Struthio camelus: one gene and its partners. The protein of the gene in region 3 purifies or fractionates together with the protein of the main gene of each other region. This does not show direct contact. Links are inferred from orthologs where the notes say so. Each region holds a gene or a part of one and is shown on either strand. Other genes may lie near its edges.

Region 1 (7,964 bases), on a different chromosome or scaffold from region 3:
TCATTCAAAAATATTTTTCACTGTTCAGAGCAACAGAACTATTTGTTTTCAAGTTCCACTATAACATACAATCAAATAATACAGAAAAAAAAGGGGTATCAACTCATTATGTCAAGGAGTCATAGATACATTCTCAGTTGCTTTATCATCTTGTAAAAATAATTTAAGTGGATTTGTGTTTTACTTAAAAAACAAAATAGAAGCAAAAGATTTTACTATAAATTTCACTTTCAGTGGAAACCTGGAAATTTTATTGCATTATACGGTTTTTATATATACTAGATTTCATTGTTAACTGAAAAAAACTTGGACATTAACCAGTGTATTTGGAGACCCAGTTCAAAGCTCCTGCACTAAATAAACTGCAGTTAAACTATTATATACTGTCACACTGTCACCAGCTAAAGAATCGAAAAAATCTCCATCCACCAGTCTTTGTAAGGCCTTTTTCTCAAGGCATGTCTACAGCCCACCAAACAGCAAGGTTGCCATGCTATGCATTTACATAGACATACCCTCTTTTAAGCTTTGTGTATACTATGGGTTAAAATGGCTACTGACAATGAAAGCCACGAAATTATGCAGCTGCTCCATTGGTCATCAAAGTTTAACTGCAAAAATAGACAAACATAAACTGTACACTGCATCTTTTCCAACCCAGTTACAATTCACTGATCCTCTTTTATAAACCTGCCAAAAGGTTTTATCTTCTAAATGGATATTCTAAAATAATAAAAAAATAATTCTAAATTAATGGTGTAAGAGCTTTTGGAGCTTCTCCATTAGTAATGTTCCCTACCCTTCTAGGTATCCTGTCTTTCACAGGAGATTGTTTAATGTAGACAAATTCCTACACGTTTGTATCAGCATGTAGTCATTAACGTAAGAACATATGCCACATTGGTTCAGACCCATCTTCTCTTCGGCAGCGGCTAGAAATCAATGCCCTGGGAAGAGTAAGAACAGGGCAAGCATATGTGATACTTCCTCAGAGTTTTCTCCCAGCTGCCAGCTATTTTCAGGTCAGGGAATTTCCTGAGATTGATGCTGCCTGTCTCTTTAGTTTCCCTCAGTGAATCTTTCTTCCAAATACTTGTCCCAGTCTCCCCTTGAATCCAGAATCAGTGCATTAGGTTTGTGCTATTCTTCTCTAAGAAGTATTTCAACCTCCATCTTGTTTCACTCTCTCTATGTAACACAGGCAATATTCTATATAGATGAATAGCACTGGTTTTACCAAGTTGTTGCTACTTTCTATTGGTTTCACTAGCATCACTGGCTTTTTCTTCTCCATGTGTTTAAAAAAAAAAGATTACAAAAAAGATTACATTGGGTGCAGCAGTTACTATGTACTGCTCACTGTTTTCAGGCATGCCTGTTCATGCACTGCTCCCTTTTCAGGCAGGGTAGCATTTTCTCATGACAGTGAGCCTCCAGAAATCACTGGAATTATTCATGAAAATAAAGAATGCTGCACTGGGTCCAAAGCCAGTTTTACAGACTGTTTCTGCTAGCCTCTGTTACAGAGAATATCTGGTTGTTTGCAGTTGCATATAAGGAAGTTCTGCAGTTGGGTATTTCTCAGTGGAAGTTCCCAGCTAGTATTAGTCATAACCCGTACTGAAGTACAGAACTGCATTTCATAATCTTGTTGGCACTGCTCTCAGATAACGTAGGCATTGACCGTACTGTCACTGAAGAGCTGACAGAAGAAAAATATTCTTAAGGAAGTTACTTACAAGGTAATCAAAACCTTTGGTTTCCATTGCATGTAAAGAAAATGAATAAATCATTCCTACCAACTTCAGTGTGCTGATATGCAGAAAAAGTATAAAATGAGCTACAAACATTGTAATTGTACTAACACTGCTTTTACACTGCTTAGACTGCACCAAGTCTGTATGTCTGCACTTTGATTAAACGTTGCTGAGCTAGTTTCTGGAACCCAGGATTTACCTGTTACAATCTATAGGCAAAATGCAAACCTTATTTGCATTGCATGGACTTAAGTTTCCACAGGCTCATCAACTAACTACTCTTTCTTTTGGGGGAAAAAAAAGATTCAGCCTCCTGTTCCTTATTGCTAGGGAACTATAACTTTCACTCTAAATTAATCCACAGTTCTCCTTTTATGACCCAGGAAAGGCATTTCAAGGCATTTTTTGTGGTAGGGGGAAATAAACTATCGAAAAAATCCTGTAACAACACGCAACAGTACAGATTTTGTCCGCACCTAGAATTGTGCCATACATTCCTTTGGAAAAGCCGACTAGTTCTGGAAAAGGTTTAAACATCTGACGTGAGCCACCTAGTGTCTGAACGCATGGCTACAGCAGGAAGTTTCAAGAAACATTTTAACCTGTTTCTGACAGTCTGTAGAAGCCAACTGGTACTTATAAACTTAAACCGTAAAAATGAATTGATTTAAACCGTTACTGAAATACAGTCTTTCTGCAACTGCTGCACTGCAAGCATATCTTAAAAACAGTCAGACTGGTAGATTCCTAAAACCTCAGATGAGAGTTAAATACACTGAAACACGCTTGTTCTTCCCAGTTATCTTGTGAAGGCTGCAGGTAGGAACGCAATTCTGCCTTAACAATGACATAAAAACGTCAAATATTGATGTGAGACTGAAATGCAGAAAGTGTTTGTTGGAATAGTTGTAGGGATGGAGATACAGAGACTAAAGAGGGGGAAGCAGAAAAACAGAAAGAGAAAAAGAAAGCAAGATGAGGAAGAAAAGGACAAAAATAACGAACCAGCGGGGCAGAACCCACTCTTCCTTTAAAAGATCACAGTTAAAGATCAAGTTAGCTACCGAATATAGAGCTTATACTCTGACTTTCACAGGTGTTTTTCTATTTAACAAGAATTTATTCAAAGCTTTGGAAGTTTCTAAGAATGTTAAGATATGTCACTGCTTGCAATGTACATTCTACCATACTTGGGGAGGAAATGCAGAAAAGAAAAAAAAATTCCTGAATAACAAAGATAGAAAAAAGATCAGCTTCTCTTGTGCTTTATTGTGAAAGAATATTACTTATAAAGCACTAAGAGAATAATGCATGTGACTTGAAAACCAGTCATGTTGCTATATGGCTGTCAACTTTGCTCTGTCAGGTCTAAGACCTTCACAGCAAACTTACATTAAGTACACTGCTAAAATTTAATAAACAAACATTTATTTCCTACAAAAGCACTAACATGTAATTATACCATTTCACAGATGGTATATATGTTAAGTATGTCTCTATTCAAGTCCAGGTATCCATACTCTTAGTTGGTTCATGCTTATTGTCATTTGTTTGCCACACCTACTTGTATTTTTCCTGCACATTACCTGTTTTTAAATATAGTTTCAGTTAAATCATACTTATGTACATTGATCTGAATTCAAAAATTGCAGAGCTTTTTTATTTCAATTACTAATTGGGATAAATTTCATTATCATTTGAAGTACAGAGTTTCTTGGTAAGACTAGATAAAGATTAAAAAAGTAGAAACTAAAAAAGGAACAAGTGGGGGGTGTGTGTGTGTGTGTGTGTGCGCGTTTTTTCAACAAAGATCTAGTTAAATGAAACCTGAACTTAGGTATCTCAAACAGCCTGTTAAATTAAGATAAAGGTCTCTGAAAGAGGAGATTTCTCCCTTTCTTGGGAACATGCTAAAGGAGAAAACCCTCTCTGAACCTTAATAGGTTCATTAGAACCTCACCCAAAATTCTTAAATTGCAGCTAACTAGGAAACGTGTTTACTGGCTCATTAAACTATCCACCTACAAGTCTCCTTAGTCTTAGAAACAGACCAGAACAGACCAAAAGTGTTGTTAAAGACTTATCAGGAATGGTAAGTCATAATGCAAAGAACTGTCAACAAAGTACAGCGAACAACGCCTGGCTCCCTTCGCCGTACTCTTCCTACGCCTGGCCTCCGCTGCAAGCTCCCGCTCGCACACCTGACAGCGAGGCTGCCAGAGCCGAGACGCAGACGCGGCCATCCAGGTTCTGCTCTGCGAGCGCGCACGCGGAACCACTGTTTTAGCAGAAGAAACCCCGCAGCCTGCCTGTGCGCAGACAGCTGCTGGGGAGGGGAGACAGGTGAGGCTAATGCAAGTCTGTAAGGCCTCTCTTCCGCTGTCTTCACGACGATAACCTGTGCAAGCACATTGCTCCCATCAACTCTCCTCCTCGTACACCCCTTCGGGAAGAGTTCTGTTCCTACATGCGACCAAGAGAAAGAAGGGCTTGTGGCAGTAGCAAAATTGAAATTGTTAACTGCATTTCCATTACAAGCTTATCTATAAAAATCTATTGCCTGCAATAACTAAATGCAGAAAAAATGTCACCTTAATAACTTACAAGATGCTTTAGAAAGTACACTGGGTACAATAAGTATAATCGTGTCACAGATATGAGCATTTTTATTCACAAAGACCACACACAGAATCATGAAAAGACTTAAACAGGAAGGGAGCTCTGGAATTGACGTAGGGCTCCTTCTCACCAGCACTGCACCGCAGACCCTGCTTGAGGGGGGAGGGCGGCAGCCAGGCAGAAAAATGACCCGTGATGAAGCCATCGCAGGCACAGACGGAGGAGAGCTGGGGGAAGCGAAGCGAAGCGAAGGCTCGGGCGAGGGCAGACGGGGCAGCTTCGCCTTGCGCCCACGGCGGGCGGGCGGGCGGGCGGCGCGCCCGGCGCTCCCCGCGGCGCCCGGCGGCCGCTGCCCCGCGGTGCAAGGGCAGCGCGGCGGGCGGGGAGAGCGCGACAGGAAGTCGGTTCTGGTTCCTGGGTTAAGGCGCTCGGGCAGGAGCGGGCGCTCCGTGCCGGGGCGGCCGTGGGCTCCGCCAGGTGCTCGTAAGTCTAAGTCGTTCCTGAAGCCGCTCTGCTGCCTTCCGCGGGGAGCGGCGGGCGCTCGGCCCGGCGGCGGGAGCGCGGGCCGCAGCATCCGGCGACGGGCTTCCCCGGCCGGCCGGCCCTGCCCTCGGCGCTTCCGCCGTCGACTCCTAGGGGTGCCGTTTCCCGTCTAGTTCCGCTTTGCCCGGCTTAGGGAGCGCAGCGGGGCGGGGGCGCGTAGCCTGCGCGCGGAGGCGTGCTGCGCCCCCGCGGAGGGGGCCGGGGCGGGCGGCGCGGCGCGGGGCAGCGGGCTCGCTCGTTGGTGGCGATCGCCTGCCGCTCCGGCGAGCGAGGTACAGAGAGAACTGTCATTTCTTTCCTGGCAGTAACAGCTTGGGGGTGGGGGGTGCTAAACCCCAGCTCTCCAATAATCCTCATCTCTTTCCCTGAGCTCGGAGGGTCTGTCTGCTCTCTGAATTGTAACGCTGTTGTGACATGAGTGGTTTTTATGGGATTGCTGACTCTTCTCGCAGTAGTGCAAAGCAGGAGTTATTTTGCCCATTAGGAAAAAAAAAAAAAAGCCCATCGAAAGTGCAGTGAGCTCTCTCAGTCTCTCACAAATGATTACTTCAACAGGTTTCCAGTTCCCAAGATGATGGCAGTATAACTTACAAAATATTTCCACCGAAGAAACTGTTTTGAAGGCAGAAACATGTAGAGAAGTACTTGCTTCTGGATGGCATCTGTATTTTCATGTGAACCTACAAGAGGTAGGCATGTTGTGTTATGAATGAACTTGTATACACACTGGATTAGCTAAAACCTTTTCTTGCAGAATTTAGGGTGTTTCCTGAGGCACTGTGAAAACGCACAGTGTGTCTTTTTAGTGATCTCTGGTGCTGGGATTCCAGGACGTACGTGGCAGAATGTTGCTCGTCTTTGTGTTGGGGCTTTGTTGGCGTTTAATACAAACTTCCTGGGAAATTTTCGCTGCTGCTGTATTTTTTCCCTTCTATATCAGTGAAATGCTTTTCACTTGAAACAAGCTTTAAGGGTATCTGCAGGTTTCATTTGGTTTGTTTACTGAAAAGTTTATCTTAAAACATGTGCTATAAACTGGTGTTTTCCAGTGTTCAAGTCTTCACTCAAAGATGAAATTCTGGTACTCATTCCCATAGTTCCAGCACCACAACCCTCAAAGCTATTTGCATTTACAGGACTCTCTCATCAGACACACTCTGGAGCTAATCTCTCTAATTCTGCACTTGTTAGAATGAATACAGCATTTTGTATTGCTGAATCTGTACTGACTCTATATTGCTGCTAGTAATTGGTAAAGAGTTTTGAGGATCTACCGAACGTCTAGAGCGTCAGTTGCTAAAGATTAGGATTGTGAACTTTGGGCTGAAGATGTTCCAGTTGCTATATCATTGCAGCATAACCCAGATTAGATTAGTGGGAATACTTGTTTTTTGGCGGTTTGGGGTTTTGGTTTTTTTCCCCCCTCCTAACTGGATGCAGGGAGCAGAGTTAATGGCAAGGAACGGTTGGCGATTTCCCTGAATAAAGCTGATGCCTGTGGAGGAGAAGCAGGAAAAGGAGCCCTTTTTTTAATCCCAAGGAGTTCTGGACATGAGATTCCTGCTTCTTATGTTATTTATTTATTCCAGCAGTAGGCAACTCGGGGTGTGACTACAGAGTAGTTTAATCCAATCTAAATCTAGGCTGCTGCAGTCCTGCCCACAGCTAGTCTCACGTTCCCACTGCCTCCTTGTGTTGGTAGTAGCGCTCCAGCAGCCTTGCAGTGAGCTAGCACCAGCTTAACTTTTTGCTTGTTTGTTTTGAGGGGGTAGGGGGCTAGTTCTCTGACGCAACTCACAGGTGTAGCATATAAATGCTAACATTGGTACACGTAGATGGCAAAAATACGTGGCACAGGATGGAGGAAGGCAGGAAGTATCGATTTCTGTGGCAGTGCAGACCTAAATCACGTTACGTAACCATGGCTTCATGCGATAATTTCAAAGCTAACACTACCAGTGAAAACAGGAGTTCTGTGTGCCTTTTGCTCACGTCTTCTGTGTCAGTGTTGATGAGCTGTAGTTTCAGGAGTTGATACTGAAATTGTTTACAAAGTGTAAAAAGATGACAGTATTGTGTGAAAAAAATCCATTTAAAAAGTCTCCATAATTTTTACTGGTTAGTACAAGTCCCTTGTAGTGACACAGGCACTGGTGTGATTGTGCAGTGTGAATTAGTCCATTGAACTGATCTGCACTATAATTAACACAGCAAAAATACCTCTAGCATTTACTTTTAAGCTGTGTTGATTCACTGATATGGTTTACAGTGGAGTTGCTTGTGCTGGCAGAAGTGGAAGGGTGAGGTGGAAGCAGAATCATGAGTATCTAGGAGTATAAGTGAACGCAGGACTAATTCTTCTAGTAACAGTTCCACCTTGAAGTGTCCAGCTGCACTAATTTTGACTTTCATTGCCCCTTTCTTACTACATGAAATCTGGATTTTTGGGAGCTACCAGTAAATTAACATTTTCTAGGGGGAGGGGGAGTGGTCCTCAAACTTGGACTATAATCAAACATTCTCCTTATTCTTACTTCCTAAGCAGAAAGGCAGGTGTAGGGTTATAGCTCTTTATGGTGTAGCAAAAATAACTGATCCCACCTGCGGTCCAGACAAGCCAAAATCTGCTGATACTCCCAGCCTCAATGAGTAAAGAAGAGGCTGGAAGTTGGGGATAACTTTTAAGTACTAATTTTTACATTGAGATTTTAATTTAGAATAGCTTCATTTTCTATGGAGTATGAACCATCTGTAGCTGAACTCCATTCCCTCCATTAGAAGCTGAACATAGTCCTTTAACTCAATTTTTGAAGTTACTTTATGTACAGGATATTACAGTTTATTACGTAAACTGTTACAAATTAAGTGTCTTCTGGAGAATTTTGAAGAAGTACAAAATCAAGTTTGGTACTCTGCAAGTTTTTAAGGAGTGTGAGAGCATGCTTTTAAGTCATTTTCAGCAATAACAATAATCTTCCTCACTTTAGTAGCCCCCTATGCAGTCAGCGGTAGTATCTTCCCTTATTCCTTGAACTACATAAAACA
Region 2 (7,571 bases), on a different chromosome or scaffold from region 3:
AAGCAACCAATGCTCACATAAAAAACATATTGCATAGAAGATATCCAAGATAATTGATTTAGAATATATTAAGAAACTAAAGCAGAAGGCAAAGATGTTTGCATAAACTTCCATTTCATGATGTTTTGTTTCCAAAGCAACTGATTTTTAACAGAAGTACAATAACACTAATTTCTAATGATGCTTGTGCAACACAAAATATTTTAGGGAAAAAAAGAACATATCTCAAAACAACATATCTGTGCTAGTATGTAGCAGTATATGATATTATATAATATAGTGATTTGAAAGTCAGAGTTGATACTATATGCCATTTCTCTTTGTATTACTGCTTTCTACAATATTTTGTCCAGAGAGAGTGAGTGAATTCAGCAACTGTACTAAAACAGATCCTAAACCTTTACCTGGGAGTTTTGTGTAACAGACTCTGTTACCATATGGACACAAGGCACTGGAAAACCCTTATCATCTCCCAGGTCCTTCCTGCATGCCACTGCACCTGCAGCTTTTCTCTTTTACTGCATGTCTCATGTTTGTCTTTACTGTTGGGAAGTGTTTTCTAATCTTCAGGGATACCAAGAGGTAAACATACAGCAGACCTTTCTGAACAAAAGACCCTTTTCCATGGGTACCTGAGACTGCAGGGGCTAGGCTTGATGGCCTCAGAGATGCCCACCAGCCCCATGTTCCCGTAGGAAACGATGTTCTGACTGTGACTTCTAAGATTGGAGGTGATCTTTGTTTAGATTCATGAATCACTTCTATCAACTAATAGTAACTAACCTTATTTTTTGAGTTAAAAAAAAAAAAAAAGACATACCATATTCAAAAGGATTCCAGATTCTTGCTGCCGGCATCCTTTACGTTGTTTGGTAGTGTTAGACACTTGATTTGCAAAAGCAAGCAAGTCTTCCACAGTCCCATATTTGACACATGACATCAAAGAAACTTCCCTTTCACAAAACAGTAAAGATTCTGCACGCTCTTCATTTTGATTTGCCTCTTCACACATTGTAATTATGCTGTCTTCATAAACTGCAAGGTCCCCATCTGGATAAAGGTTTTCCATGATGTCTATCACCTCAGACATATTTAAATCAGTCAGCAACAATTCAATTTCCTCTTTGCTATCACTACCAGTGCTCATATACTCCATTACTGTCTGCTTTGCAAAACCACTCCTGAAAAAAAAAGAAACAAACAAACCTGAAATCACTTCATCTAAAGTTGTTTCAACAGAGTAAGAATAAAAGCTCATTATTATATGGTTAGATTTAAAATTAGTACGTTGTATTATGCAAAAAGTCATGATTAGTAGACTGGGTGAAGAGGAGACAGAGAAAACAAAGTCTTTATTAGTGGAATTTTGTTTGAAAGTTGTTAGTGAACACTCCAAATCACTCACTCTTGGAATTCTCTTCATCAAAGATTTTTGTTACGGGTGCTGGCACAACACGGAAGCGTGAACTAGTTATATTTTGCTGCACTATGCAAAAATGAAGAGGTATCCTTAATATAGATGAGCTTATATAGAAAGCAATGAAACAGGAGAAAAAACAAGGTTTTATGTCCTCACAAACTAATAACTTTTGCTCTAAGAGTGCATTCATCATTTTGAAATGGATGACAGAGATGTAAGTGTACCATACAAATTCATCCCCAAATGTTCTTGAGCAACTTATGTGATGTGCCCCCAAAGAGGAGAAAGTCATGGAGCAAGACCATTACAGCAGCAAAAAGCATCTGTTAGTATCATTGTGCAATGCACAAATGAGATACTGAAATACAGCTGAAATACTCCACCCGTTTTGAGATGACATTACTGACCAGAACTAGACTTCGACTGAAATTTTCACTCATTTAAGAAGAAAATCAGAAATGGACTGATCGTAAGAGCAATGAGCTTTTGAAGCAGTTTCCAGAAGTTTGTTCTGTCCTCACTATTTCTAACAATAACTTTTAAGATAGATCTTGACCATTTTCTTAAAGAGGACTTTAATGACAGGACGCTGGATTCAGTGTCCCAAGAAGTCCCCTCCCATACCAGGTTCCTAACGTGAGCCAGACAGAGTTTTTGTATTCAAGTTAAAAACATATATGCATAGTCAATCATTAAAATACTTATACAAATAGTTTTCAACATGCAAATTTCAGTGAATGCTTACCTTATATTTATCCTGGTTACATCACACAAAACCATCAAAAACGTCTCAATGTAATGCCTCAAGCTGCCATGTATCTTGAACCTGTGTTTATCACTGATGACAATTTCACAGCGTTCTGTAGCAGTCTATTAAAAAAGTAAAATAAAGTAAAGTAATGGCAGACCTGCTCAAGCAGAAGGACCGGCCTCTACTCATATGACATTTGCTTCACAGGCTTCATGGAAAGAAAAATTAATAGTCACAGCGCTGAGAAAATAGGGGATTTTTTTTTGCAGAAAGAAAAAAAAAAAAGACAGCTCAAACAAGAATCAAGCAATTGTATGAACATCCAGATTTCCAAGTAGTGGGGAAAAATAAGTTTTCCATGGTAAGCTTCTGAGTTTTATTCTCTCTGCCTAATGCTTGCAAGTAACAAAGAAGAATCTCCTTTTCCTCTGGCAGAACCGAGTAGAACACATCCTATTTACAGAGCTCTCACTTCCTATTTTCATAATCCACTGTGAACACCTATTTTGTGCAAAAGATAACAGCCAGAAAAAAAAGATACTTTAAGAAAAGGAAAGAAAGAAAGAAAGAGAGAAAGAAGCACAGTCTAGCTATCTCAAGGACAAATAGCAGACTCAGTCCGCTGGGGCCACAAAGCAGTGCCGTTTACTTAGGTGCAGTCCCTGGTTTTGATTACTATCTTCCTTACCCTCCCCACAAGGACGTGGAACCTTTGCGGTACATATTTCTCATGGGTTAGAGTATTTACGTCAGCTCTAACGTTGAAGAAAAGCGAGTAAAATGACGTGGCTGACCTGGCAAAGAAATTCAGATCGTGCGCGGCAAGTTCGAAAGGCAGGGCAGGAAAACTGCAGACACAGCCCACGACCAGGCATGTCAAGTACCTGGTGCCCCTTCCAAGCCCTGCGGCAACAGCATCGGGGTAGCACCATGCCCCCACCGTCCCTCCGGACGGACGTGGTTAATGAGTTTCACCAGCACTCACCCATACCAGTTCACCCATCATCAAGTGAATGCAACAATACCCATAGCTTTAGGGAAGTGGGAGTACAAAAATTTGTGGTCATTAGCACTAATTTAGCGGAATTTGTATTTGGGGTAGTGAGAGGGGTCAGGTCTTTTCAAGCTGCACAACAAGAAATAACAGAAGCAAAGGCTGTTTTCTAATCCCCAGCATCCCACCTTCCTGCTCTATCCCCAAATTAGAGGCTGTTAGAAAGTGTTTACTCTTTATAAAGGAGATTTATATCTTTCTCCATAGCAGGGCTTTTATTGGTTGCTTTTTGATGCTGCATTCACGGGGGTGGAGGGAAAAGAAACACTCAATCCAGCCATAAGAGGAACTGAGAGACTACATGAGAAAAGTAAGGTAAGTTAGAAACAAGTCCTAAGGGACTTTCTGAGAAAGAATACGAGCCTGCAGAAGTTCTGGTCCTTCTTGGATATAGTCAGGTCAACAACATGCTTAAATAACTCACTTTTTAATAGCATCTTCATGCATTAAAAAATTGTATGGTTTCGACCAAACACAGCTTTCCACCAGTGCCAATTCTGCTTTGTTCCTCGAAATGTTCCCGAACTGCACCGTGTTCCTAATATTATTCTCAACAGGTGCACTACTACCCACAAAGGTCTGAACAACTAGAAGAAAGTTATTACAACCAGCTTATTCTCAGTTTTATGCCTTTAGTGCTCGAGAACAGCTGCAAACTGTTCATTTTCCCGCATCTAGTAAATTCCAGATACCAAATGCTTACATAATGAGACCAGTTTCTAGACTCTGTAAATCTGATCTTTTTTAAATTATGCAGCAACTTATAGGTTACATTTCCACCACTGGCAAAGGTTGTCCATTTGCTAGCAGTGAATTCGTTCTCCCTTTCCTCCCTAGAATTCTGTCCTAGGACCTGTACCGGGCACTCACATAACGCTCCAAATCATTCTATACAATCCAAGTGACTGAAGACTTTAAGTGACTAAGTCCTCAATGAAAAATTTCTTTTTACCTACAGTGGAAAAAGAAAACTAAATGTAAGCACTTAAAAACTTGATAAAGCACAAGACTTCTTCTCCACTGCTGTCATCATTTCAACATCATCACATGAGCAATCAGCATGCGAGGAGTTTATTTCTCTATTTGTCATGAGTAGCTAGCTTTTCCCTGAAAAGCCTTTTCCTGAGGAGAGCATTGCTTGAAAATGTCTTTATGTGTCATACTAAAGGGCATAAGGTTGACCGGACAGTCCATTCCTCTGAGCTCCTGCAGCATTTTTTTCTGTGTCAAGAGTAAAAAAACTAAATAAGTAAATCTGCACAGACTGGCTCAATACAATCACACACCTATACAAAGATTTCTTGTATTGTCTTTAATAATTTTCTGGTCTGATTGCATGCAGTTAACCATCAGTGGTGGACAAAAATCTATACTTGTTTTTAAGAAAACCTATTGATAGACCTTGAAAAACATTATTCCATTCAAAAAAACTGCTTTAAGTTACAAAAAAATTCAACAATTTCCATTTCTACATAATTTCACACTTTCACTGGGGGTGGGGAGTGGCCTTCTCATGCTTACAGCGGCTAAAAGTTTATCTCCAATACAAACCAATACACTGATCTCCTTTTCGGTCTGCAGATACAGAACCAGTTAAACTAGGGAGGAGAACAGGTGCTAGAGATTGTATGATTTTAGCAGCAAATACCATGCTGTTCAGGAGGCTGTCAGCAACCGGGAAACTGCCCACCTAAAACCTTGTGAATCTTGATCTACCGTCTGACAAACAGCAAGCTGGAAGACAAGCGGCAGAGGAGAAGAGAGGAGGAAGAGCGCGCCGTCCCGAAGCAGCAGCCGGCCGGGCAACCCCAGCACCCTCCCAGCCGCATCTCCCTTGCATCACTGCAGGCAGCTGGCAGTGCCAGCACCTTTCCCAGCTCCTAGAGCTGCTCCTAGCAGCAGGGCAGGCTATTTCCCAATGCCCAGGCCACACGCCAGCTGCCACCGCTGAACTCACAGCGATGGGGCCCCGACCCGTCCGACGCGTCTTTATCCCATACCGCACACGGGGGAACGCGCTCCCACGCGAGCCCGATTTCCTACACCAACTACAGCCCCAGTTCTCTGCCTCCTTGATACAGGGTCACTGAGCTATATATACAGCAGTAGCACTGTGGTCCCTTTCAGGAGAACAAGTATTAAAGCACTAGAATCGGGTTAAGCTGCATTTTAGAGGGAAGCACTCTGCAGTTCACAGGGCAGGCTCAGAGCTGAGCTCGGCCGCGAGCTGAAAAGGGGCCGGGGCTCAGCGCGAACAGCGCCTTAACTCGCTCCACGCAAACTGCAGGCTCGTCACTAACCAATATTGAAAAGTGATATTTCCTAAAGACACCCCCCTCCCGCCCAAAAAAGAGTATTTTCTTCCTCAAATCCCCATCCAACCCCTAAGCACGCAGCGGAGGGCTGCCGCGGTGAGAGGGGCCCCGCCGGGCCGGGAAAGTGGGAGGGGGGACCCCGGGAGCCCCCCCCTCCCCGAGGGAGGGAAGGAGGGAGACGCGCCGGCCGGCCGGCCGCCCCCTCGCTGCGCTGCGCTGCGCTGCGCTGCGCGCCCGCCGCCCCTCACCTGCCGTCCGGGCGCGCTCCGCGTGAGGCCGCGCTGCCCTTTTCCCGCACGCAGCCGGCGCCGCGGCCGCTCCGCCCGACGCGGCGGCCCCGCTGGAAACTCCCGGGGGCGGGCGGACGGGCGGGCAACGCCGGCCCCGGTTTCTATTTCGCTTTACTGGAAGGCACCTCCCCGCCCTGGGCGTAAAGGTGCCGCCCGCGGCCGGGGCGGGGACGGGGGCGAAGCGGGTCCGGTCTCCGGCCCCGGCCGTCTGGGGGGGAACGCTCTGAACCAGAAAGGGGGGGGGGGGGAAGGGGGGGCAGAAACATGACTGTGTAACCCAGTGAGTTCTTAGGTCATCCTGGAATGGAGGAAAGCTGCATTCAAGGCTTTGCTAGAAAACCGGCAGAACGGGGATTTGAAGTAGGTTGCTCACCTCAGCAGCCAGTGGTCTAACAATAATCCCGCAGAGTGCTCTCGTAATGCCCAACCGCGTCCCTGCCTGCGGCATTTTCAGCTGGCAAGTTCAGGGTCTCTGGTCCATGGCTTCGGGGAAGCCCTTTCCCAAAGTCCCCGACGTTCCCACGTGTGGCACCTGGAACCTAGAAGGGAGGCGATGCGCTCGCCACGCACACTTAGCTTCAGCGGTATCTAAGTAAAACTTCAGCTGAAACTCCGCTGGAATTTAGGACAACAACGTGTAGGATTTGCCAGTGGCTTTAGGATTAAAATCCTTGGGGGGATTGTATCATGAGTTTGATAATTGCTAAAAATGGGCTGGACTACGTTTTGTTCCTCATTGAACAGGCAGTAACTCTTGCAGGGCTGTGCTCCCCGGTAGTTGCTCTTCTAGTGCATTAGTTCTTGCTTAGAGAGAGAGAGAAGCGGCATCTCTTGATCACCAAAACCACTTCCCACAACACTAGGAGCTGATGAGTTGAAGCTGTTTTGAGATCTTAGGAGACAAGGGCTGTATGTTCTGTTTTTTTTTCTGCGTTATAATAGACTTATGTGAAATCTGTGCCTACTGAAGTCAATGGCAAAACTGTCATTATAAAATTTCAGGACAAAGAATTCACCTTAGGCCTCAGTGTTTATTTTCAGTACGTGTAACTCCTTGCAGCCCGATCTAGTTGTGTTTTAGCTTCACAGTTTAGCATGAGGAACGCTGCTAGCAGCGCTGACCTCTGTTCACACAGAGCTTCTTCTCCACAACGTATAGGTGATACATTGGCAAATCTCCACGCAGGAGATACGGATCTTGTCGAGTTTGTTCTTGCTCAATTGTGCTGTTCAGGACACTCACTAAGAAATGTACATGGGATAAATTCAAGAATGGTGAAGATGACTAGGGAGAAAAAAATGGAAGAAGGAAATAAAGGGAATTTGGGAAGAAGGTAGGCTGTAGGAGGAGGAATGAGGAGAGCAGTGCGGCGTAGGGGAGGGCAGAATTGGCAGCAGCCCGGAGGTGGCAGGTTAAGGCTGAGTAACGCTCCTTTAACACATTACAGCAGCTCTCACGCTAGGTAACTTAGGCATCCTCTTTCAGGAACCTGCCTAGGTCGTTAGTTTTCCTAAACCCACAATTAATTTTAATGAAACCATTCTCCTTTTTTAGATCAGCTTCAAAGGAAAAGAAGAGGAGGAGTTTCTCGCTTTCCACATCAACGGATTCAGGATGGACATGTCACAAGATGTCACCTACTACGGGCACGTGGAGGAAGTTTCTGCTCCGTGGCATACACACCTGAGATATAAACTGAGTATTTTAGAGGCAGTCTGCTCCTCGTCTTCGGGATCATCT
Region 3 (8,215 bases):
CTTGCGGCGGGCGGGAAAGGAATATCCAATATGTAAACAGCAGGCTTTCATAGTAAGTCGAATTGCAGCCAAGATGTAAAGCATTAAAGGGTCACAGAGCATAACAGAAGCTTGAACTAATCAAAAGACCTGAGCAGAATATGTACAAGTGTATATCCTGCTTATCTGCCAAGACCTATAAAAATGAGACTGAAATGGAACAAAAGTAGAGGAAAAACTCCTTAGACAAAAGCAAGAGGATTACTTTGCATCTGTCTAATGTCATTACTCTTCTTCCTGGTTACTTCAGCCTTACTGCAATTAAGAAAGCAGGTCTTGGAACTTTGCCTTTAAGCAGAACGCTCTATTTTTTGGCATCTTCCAAAGTTCAAACTGCGTAAAACGTATGGGGAAAAGCTTACGCTAGAAATAAATAAAATCTGTGCTATTTCTCCTAAATATTCTTATGTTTACATTTTTGAGTCATTCAGTAAATAGGGCTTAATCACCAAGTATATAAACTGAAAACAAGACTGAAACAGGAATGTTGCGATCCAAGCCATAACTTCAGCGCAGGGACATGGCTACGTACAAATGTCATAACAATGAGTTCATCCGATATCAGGACTCCTGAATGGCCTCAAACTAACCTCTGTATGAGTTTCCCATTCAAACTGTACAAAATGTAGTGCATTAAATTATCAGAACATCCAATTTAATACTATATGTTAAGGAAGTTTACCCTTCCCCATTTAAGAAATTATCAGAACATCCAATTTAATACTATATGTTAAGGAAGTTTACCCTTCCCCATTTAAGAACTGCAAACATGACCGCTGCAAACACGACATCACTTAAACTATGAGTCATAGAAGCATAAACTATTCGGTCAGCATCCAAATTAGACTCTGAGACTTATGAAGAGCTCTAAGTTGGACACCTTTTGTAGCTGTGGGTATTCTAAGATACATCAACTGATCTCAGTGAGAGGAAAAAAAAACTGTTAGTGATTTTTATTCCTGTTAACACTACAGAGTCAAAAGTTAAGGAAGTGTGCGCTGCTGTTGATTTTTTACCAGAGAGCAACAAGAGAATCACTTACTAATCTATAATTAGTTACACTTTGATAAATCAGCTCAAGGCAATGGAACAGTATCATTAGGTCACAATTTAGTCTCCAGGACCATTATAAATGGTGACTAGAGGAAGAGATGGGAACAGATGCAGCTTGGTTGCCTGAATAATTTCTGGAGTTCACAGCTCAAAAAAAATACAGTTTCTCACAAATCAAGCATACTACATTATCTGCAGAATGACAGAACCCCAAAATCTGTTTTACAGACTTTTTCAAGCAGAACTATACTTTTAAATACAGAGACTCACTCTTGTGTCATTTGCACTAAAATTACAGAGACATAACTACTACAGTCAATGGAATTATTCTTAATTTTCACCTATATGAAACTGAAATCAGTTCATCATATCTTTTTAATAAACCTTAAACTACAAATAACTCATTTTAACACAAATTTATAAAAAAAAATTAATGCACGCTTAATTCACTCTAGCTATATTGTTTACTTTTCCTTTTTCCTAGTCCTAAGATCAGCTTAGTATCCTTTCCGTTTCTAGCTAGTATTTAACCACTTTTGTTTCTTATACACTGTGTAACACTTCTCATGCATCATAATAGTGGTTGGTGATATGTGAAGAATTACTTAGAGCAACTTGCCAGATTTTTTTTTAACAAAATAGCAACATTCCTACATTTCTGAAAAGGCTGATTTCTTCAGCAAATCTAATTTGAGCTTAGATTTTACTTGCGTGGCTCCATCATTGTGTTACACCCTACTATGAGATAGAGTCAAAGTGAACTTCACTTTAGATTTTAAGTTGAGGCTGGTAAGGTTTGGAAAATAAAGGATTTTCATTATATGAAGTAGTGCAGAGCATACTTGTTGTTCATGCAGTTCTTTGCCAAGCAGAATTACTGTGCTTAATATCCAATAATTTCATTGCCTAAAACTGAAAAAGTACAAACATGCAACTTGGTAGACCATCTACTTTACCGGAGAATCTGATAAAAAAACCACACTGAAGGCAATCCAGGAAAAGCCAGGTACAGTAAGAAACACGTCTTAAGATCTGACTCATTCTTTGGCGCTAGCGTCTAGCTGCTGAATTCCCAAGAATTCCTCCACATTTCAGAACTGACAAAAGGAAACCGTCATCTAAGGGCATTCCCAAGAACACGCGGGATCAATTTCTTACTCAGGACTTACGCAGCTCAAATTTCCCTTAAGTCAGTGGTATTTTCCTTGGGCAAGTGCTTGCTTATCCAAAGCACTATTAATGTCAAGTTTTCAGTAATTAGATGCAATGTTTGATTTTAATAATTACAAACACACTGTATTATAAATTATTCTGTTTGATAGCTAACTAAATGCTCTGATATCTGGTCAAAGAATAGTAAGCAGGATACGGCCATCCCATCTGTAGATCCTTGGAATCTCTGAGCTTCCCAGCCATTGCTATTTGAAGCCAGATAAACTTCTCCCCAGCCAGTGCTTTATCATATATTTCTAAAAAAATTTGTTGACAGTCAGCAAAAGTGACTTTGCTGTACATTTTTCACCAAGCTCTAACTGTAGCATAACAGTACTGAAAATACTGAAAATATAAAATGAAGCCTATTTATTTTTTCACTTTTCCCACTAATGTATATGAAAACTATAAAATGCTAGTATTTTAAAGTAGGAATTATCCTTTCTTTTTTTCCTAGTAAAAATGATGCCTCAAGGTTGTAGGAACTAACTTTGTTCTACATGTAGACAGTCAAAAATTGTAATTTCCTCAACTTTTGATCATATGATTTTCCCGTGTCCTTAGTCACGGTGTATTTAGATTATTTACGAGATGAAGTAACAAACACACTGTAAACCATTATCTTGGGCAACTGTTTTATCCTTTCCTGTCACACAAGCTCTTCTACCCATAAAATTCAGCTTTGTTTTTATGAATATTTACACTAATGGAGCATTTTGAATGTATGATCTTTTGGGGAACGCCAAGACCTTTTCCAGCAGTACCGCGGTAGCAAAATGATGACTTTCTACCTTTCTGCTACTGCTGAATTCAATCACAGGACCACAGGATAATTCAAGTTGGAAGGGAATTCAGCAGGTCTCTGGTCCAAACTCATCCTCAAAGCAAGGTCAGCTATCAGATCAGGTTGCTCAGGGCTTTACACAGTTAGGACTTGAAAATCTCCAAGCATGGAGATGGCACAACCTCTGTGGGCAAGCAGTTCCAATGCTTGACTGTCCTTAATGGGGAAAGGTTTCCTTATATGCAACTGGAACCTCTTTTGTTTCACTTTGCACCTGTTATCCTTTCATGAAAGGCCAACATGTCACACCTTGCACTTTCATCTCACAATTATCACCAGGATTCTGACCCATCACTAGCAGGATTGAGCCAGTGTCATGTCTTTGCCATACAGACTCTTCTACAGTCATAACTTTTTGATTAATTTATGTTCTCAAACATTCCTCATTGTTGTGGCTTTTATTATGACAGCTGTAAGTCGTTAAGATGCTAGCACAGGGAGGCCGCTCTCTGTCATACTGATCAGAGTCTACCCTTTTTATCTCCTCTACCACTGGTAACCAACCATTTTCACTTGCTCTATAATTAGACAGGTATGCTTTTTGGTCCAGGACCTTCTTCCATGATTGTACAGAAGTCAGTACAACAAGACTGTGTTCACATGTAGAGCTCTGTGTGACTACGTCATTATAAATATTATTACAAACAATAATCAGAGCTTTATTTTCTTACCCTTTTAACCAGGGTTTTATGACTTTTTTCCTCCCTTGGTGTTCTACCAGTACATGATAATAACATGGGTACAATTAAACCAATCCAAACTACTTCATATTAGTTCAGCTTATCCCCCTGCTTGAATGAGAACTACCGTACCAAATAAGCTGAGTAACTGTATCTTTGGTTCTACTGCTATACAGCTAATAGAAAAGATATCCACCACAGGGGTGGCTAATAGGTGCTGGCTCAGTGTGAGGCAGCTAGTTTCACTTACATCAACAGCGCTCTATCTTCTTCTCATGAACACATACAACGTGTGATGAACAGGTATAGACACAAGCTGACCAAACGAATTTGTGATGACTGGAAGATGATCCACTCTCTCCAGAGTCTTTCCTCACTGGAGTGAGCTTCTCCTCAAAGGCTGCAGCACTATTTTAACACATTTTCCTCTAGATGCCTGGGTCCAAAGCTTTCCTACTGTTATTGATGCTGACCCACCAGACTTTTATCAAAGATTTCCAGACATTTCTTCACTGCTTGCACTGGCCTCAAAGCATCCTTTTGCCCCTGCCAGGCCATAGGGGAGACCCTGCTCCCATGCCTGGCTCAAGACAGACAAGCCTCGGCCACGGTTTCAACACCGAGATGCCTACACTGAAAAGCGAGTGCGCCCACATGTCCCCCCTCGCTGAGTCTCCGAGGTGGCCACTGCTCCCGAAGCCGGTTTCCAGAACTGTTAAGGGGGTAGGACCCCAAGCCCACCGCCCCCAGCTGCCGTGGCGGCCCCGCACATGGCTGCGGCTACCGGGCCGGCGGCTCCCGCCTTCCCTGCGGCCCGTACGGCAGCGGCGTCACGGCCAAGTAACGAGGAGCCCTACCGGCCGGGCGGCCCGCCGCCTCCACAGCGGGGAGGCGGGGGAGACCGTTAAACGGCCGGGAGCGGGGTGGGGTGGGGGAGGGAAGCTAACCCCCCCTTCCCACGGCGCATGCGCCTCCCTGGCCCGCCTCCGGGGCGGCTCCGCCGGGCGGAGCGGCGCCAGCCGGTGGGGGCAAGGGGTCGCGGCGGGAAGTCCCCTCCCGGCGCCAGGAAATTCCCGGAGCGGCTCCCGTTGGGACACCGCGCCGCGGGGCTTTCGCAAGGCTGGGCGAGCCCCGGCTTGGAGCCCCCTCAAAGGAGCCTCGATCGCCCCGCATCTCCTTCCGCCCCCCCCCACTCACCTCCTAACGGTCCCTCGTTCACCTCGCGCCTCCCCCCCCCCCCCCGCCCAACGGTCCCTTGTTCACTTCAGCCTTCCCTCCCCCCCCACACCCCCCGCCCAACGGCCTCCCTCGTCCACCTCCTCCCTCCGCCGTCAGCCCCCTCAGCGGTCCCCGACGGTCGCTCTCCCCCAACGGCCCCTCACTGGAGCCGGGCTCCCCGCCGCTGGCCGCCAGGTTTTAGCTGGCCGCCGCCGCGCTGCCCCTGCCCGGGGATCCCCGGCCAGCCCGCTGTCCGCGCTGGCTCCTCGCCCCGGGAAAGCTCTGCGCTGCGCTGCGGCGGGGTTCCCCCCCGTCGGCGGAGGCGGGGCTCCGCTCGGCCTGCGCGGTAGAAAAAGCGGCGGTGCTAGGGGAGCGCAGCAGGCGGGTCCTGCGAGGCCTTAAAGGAGAGCGGCCATCAGCGGCCCGGCAGGCGGAAGAGCGAAGGAACAGCGGCAGTAGCCGCGGCCCTGCCTGGCTCGTCTTTGGCTTTATATGCACCTGGCTGGATTATTGTTCGCCCCGGAGAAGAGAGAGAAGGGGCAGCAGAGTGATCGAGGCTCGCCGTCCTCGGCCATGTGCTCGGTAAGCGAGGGTAGCAGTACAGACCCCTTGGTGGCCCGGTTCAAACAGGTGGAGGAAACGCTGGAAAAGCTGCACCGGGAAAACAAGAGCCTGAAGAGTAAAGTGCCTCGGTACAACGCTCTCTGCACCCTGTACCACGAGTCGGCTCAGCAACTGAAGCACCTTCAGCTGCAGCTCGCCGTCAAGGAGGCGACGATCCGGGAGCTGAGGAGCAGCCTGGCCCGGCAGCCGCCCGCCGCGGGCGAGCCGGCCGGGGCCGGGGCCGGGGCCGGGGCCGAGCCCGCCCGCTCCCTGGTGGAAAGTCTCCTGGAGCAGCTCGGCCAGGTCAGGCAGCAGCTCAGGGACAGCGAGCAAACCTCGGCACAGAAAGTGGAGACTCTGAGCCAGGTAAACCCCACCTGCCCCCCGGAATAGCACTTGTACTTTGAGCGTCGCCTGCCTTTTCCAAAAGGTTGTGTGTACTTGCAGCAGATTGTACCTCGGGAGCTTTATTTCTGTACTTCTTCCTACAAAAATGACGAGTTTTAAGTTTAGTGTTTCCAGCACTTGTTGTCTTGAATGGAGCATCTGACTTGAAATATACTTGGTGATGACCGTGGTTATAGACATACTACATTTGAGTTTATAGAAGCACGTTTAGGTGCACAGGCACCGACACTGAAAACTTGGTTTTAAGTGACTTGCCCAAGGTGGCATAGCAAGCTGGGGGCAGAGCCTGGACAAGAAATCAAATGCTTTGAATGATCTGATGCTCCTTGATATGTTGGTGCATTTGACAGGACTTGCATTAACACTTTGTGTGCAGAGGTGGACTGTTTGCAAATCAACTCAACCCTATGTATCAAAGATTAGTTTCTACTGCATTAAGTTCAATAACATAAAAGAGCTTTTTTTTTTTTTTAAAGCAACTGTAAAATCAAAACTTAGTGTGGCATTGTAAATCATAACATAACTATTTTCCACAAGCAGAAGGAGAAAATATTCAGTAACAGCTAAATTCAGGAGTTCCATATTACCTATTTAAAAACAAAAACAAAAACCTTCCTCTTTATCAGATGTAACAGTGCTGTTCCATAAGATAAACAATTGATGCCAACACTTTTTCTATTACAGTATTTTTTTTAAAAGTTCACTTTAAAAAAAAAATGGCTTCCTTGTTTTGTCATTAAAATAGCACTGTAATGCTTGGAGAGGTAACTAGCAACTCTAGATTGTGAGGCAATAGATTGAGGGAATAGGCTATCTCTTTATGACAGAAAATAGTCTTAAAAACTGTCTCATCCCCCACAAGTACTATTTTTGGTACTATCATTAAGACTTTCCTGTGTTCAATCAGAAAGAAATGCTTTAAAATTCTTTTAAGTATTTCAATATGAAGCTGCGTAAAGGAATTTCCAAACCAAAAAGTAGTGCTTAAAATTGAAACAAGTATTTTTGTCATAAGTAAATTCTTGACCTAATGCTTATACAAAACACTTTCCACATATGACACTCACTTAAAATACATTTAAATAAGTTCAAGTTTGGAAATTTGTAATAAGTGATAATCTTACGGACACTTTGCAGACAGATAACAAACCTGTGCTAGCTAAAGACATTCTGAAAATTGACGCTGGAACTTATGTCTCTAATCTGCCCAGGAACTGTAAGCATAGCAAGGGGGAAATTTTATCATTTAGCAAGAAGTTAAAGAATTTTAACATTAGTAACAAGAGCAAGTGCTATTCCTGTAAGTTAGACTAATCATTTTATTACTTCTAGAAATGAATGTTTCATGCCAAATCAAAAAAATGAAATAACTGTCACTAAAAATAAATAAAAAAACAGTGCCAGATAATGTTCTGAAGTCAAAGGTCTGTGTGCTGGAAGAAGATTGCTTACTGTGATTTCCAGCTCCATGATCAAGGATTATGATTGCAACCCTTGAAGAACTGGAAGGGTAGGGTCAAGCTTGTATCTTGTTGTCTAGCCTGGTATCCAGGGCAACACTAATTCTAGAGGAACAGTGCTGTTACCAACTGTTACCAACTTCCTTTCTTCTTTGAGATCATGAAGGACAAGCTATTTTTGACAGACTCGGGACTGGTATACTCTAGGTGTTGCTGTGTGGCATGGTACTACAGCATGATTGTATCCTGGTTCGTAAGCAAACTTCTTCATTCTCAAAACAGCTGCAGCGACTGCAGTAAGCTATATAACTCTTTCCTAAGAGTATGTTAGACCCTCTCTTGTGTTTCGGGGACATAGTTATGGCCAGAATAGAGTTATTGCTACCACGGAGATTTCATTTTCTATTTGCTTGTCATTACCATTCATCCTTTCCTAGGCGGAAAAGTTGTTGTGTGTGCTATCTTTGGTTTGTCCTTTGCCTGGTACCATGACATGAGGAACACTTCATTGGTTTTTGATCAAATTGGAACTGAAAAGTCTTCTTTTGAGGTCTGCTATGTGGTAATTTGGAATGCAGGATCAGAAAGCATTTCTCAGCCTCTAGTCGTTTCTTTCAAACTGCTTTGTTTGCCGTAAGTTTCATCTTTAGCTTGTAGCTGCTGAATATATTTTACATAAAGTCTTCCTAAATTTTTGC

What was found.
Region 1: the proteins of TNIP2 (region 3) and TANK purify together in Homo sapiens (affinity purification with mass spectrometry; 3 studies listed by BioGRID and IntAct, with this or other methods). This does not show direct contact. The link is inferred for Struthio camelus from reciprocal best matches to the Homo sapiens genes TNIP2 and TANK.
Region 2: the proteins of TNIP2 (region 3) and MAP3K8 purify together in Homo sapiens (affinity purification with mass spectrometry; 3 studies listed by BioGRID and IntAct, with this or other methods). This does not show direct contact. The link is inferred for Struthio camelus from reciprocal best matches to the Homo sapiens genes TNIP2 and MAP3K8.

Annotation. Positions count from the first base shown.
Region 1 is NC_090947.1:27,036,625-27,044,588, reverse strand, and holds the start of TANK (TRAF family member-associated NF-kappa-B activator), read left to right. Parts: upstream 1-4,720; 5' UTR 4,721-4,859; intron 4,860-5,064; exon of another isoform or gene 5,065-5,191; intron 5,192-5,474; 5' UTR 5,475-5,608; intron 5,609-7,964.
Region 2 is NC_090943.1:18,072,978-18,080,548, reverse strand, and holds the start of MAP3K8 (mitogen-activated protein kinase kinase kinase 8), read right to left. Parts: upstream 3,222-7,571; 5' UTR 3,104-3,221; coding exon 2,966-3,103; intron 2,291-2,965; coding exon 2,166-2,290; intron 1,182-2,165; coding exon 821-1,181; intron 1-820.
Region 3 is NC_090945.1:77,064,150-77,072,364, forward strand, and holds the start of TNIP2 (TNFAIP3-interacting protein 2), read left to right. Parts: upstream 1-5,185; 5' UTR 5,186-5,538; coding exon 5,539-6,015; intron 6,016-8,215. UniProt on the Homo sapiens protein: Inhibits NF-kappa-B activation by blocking the interaction of RIPK1 with its downstream effector NEMO/IKBKG.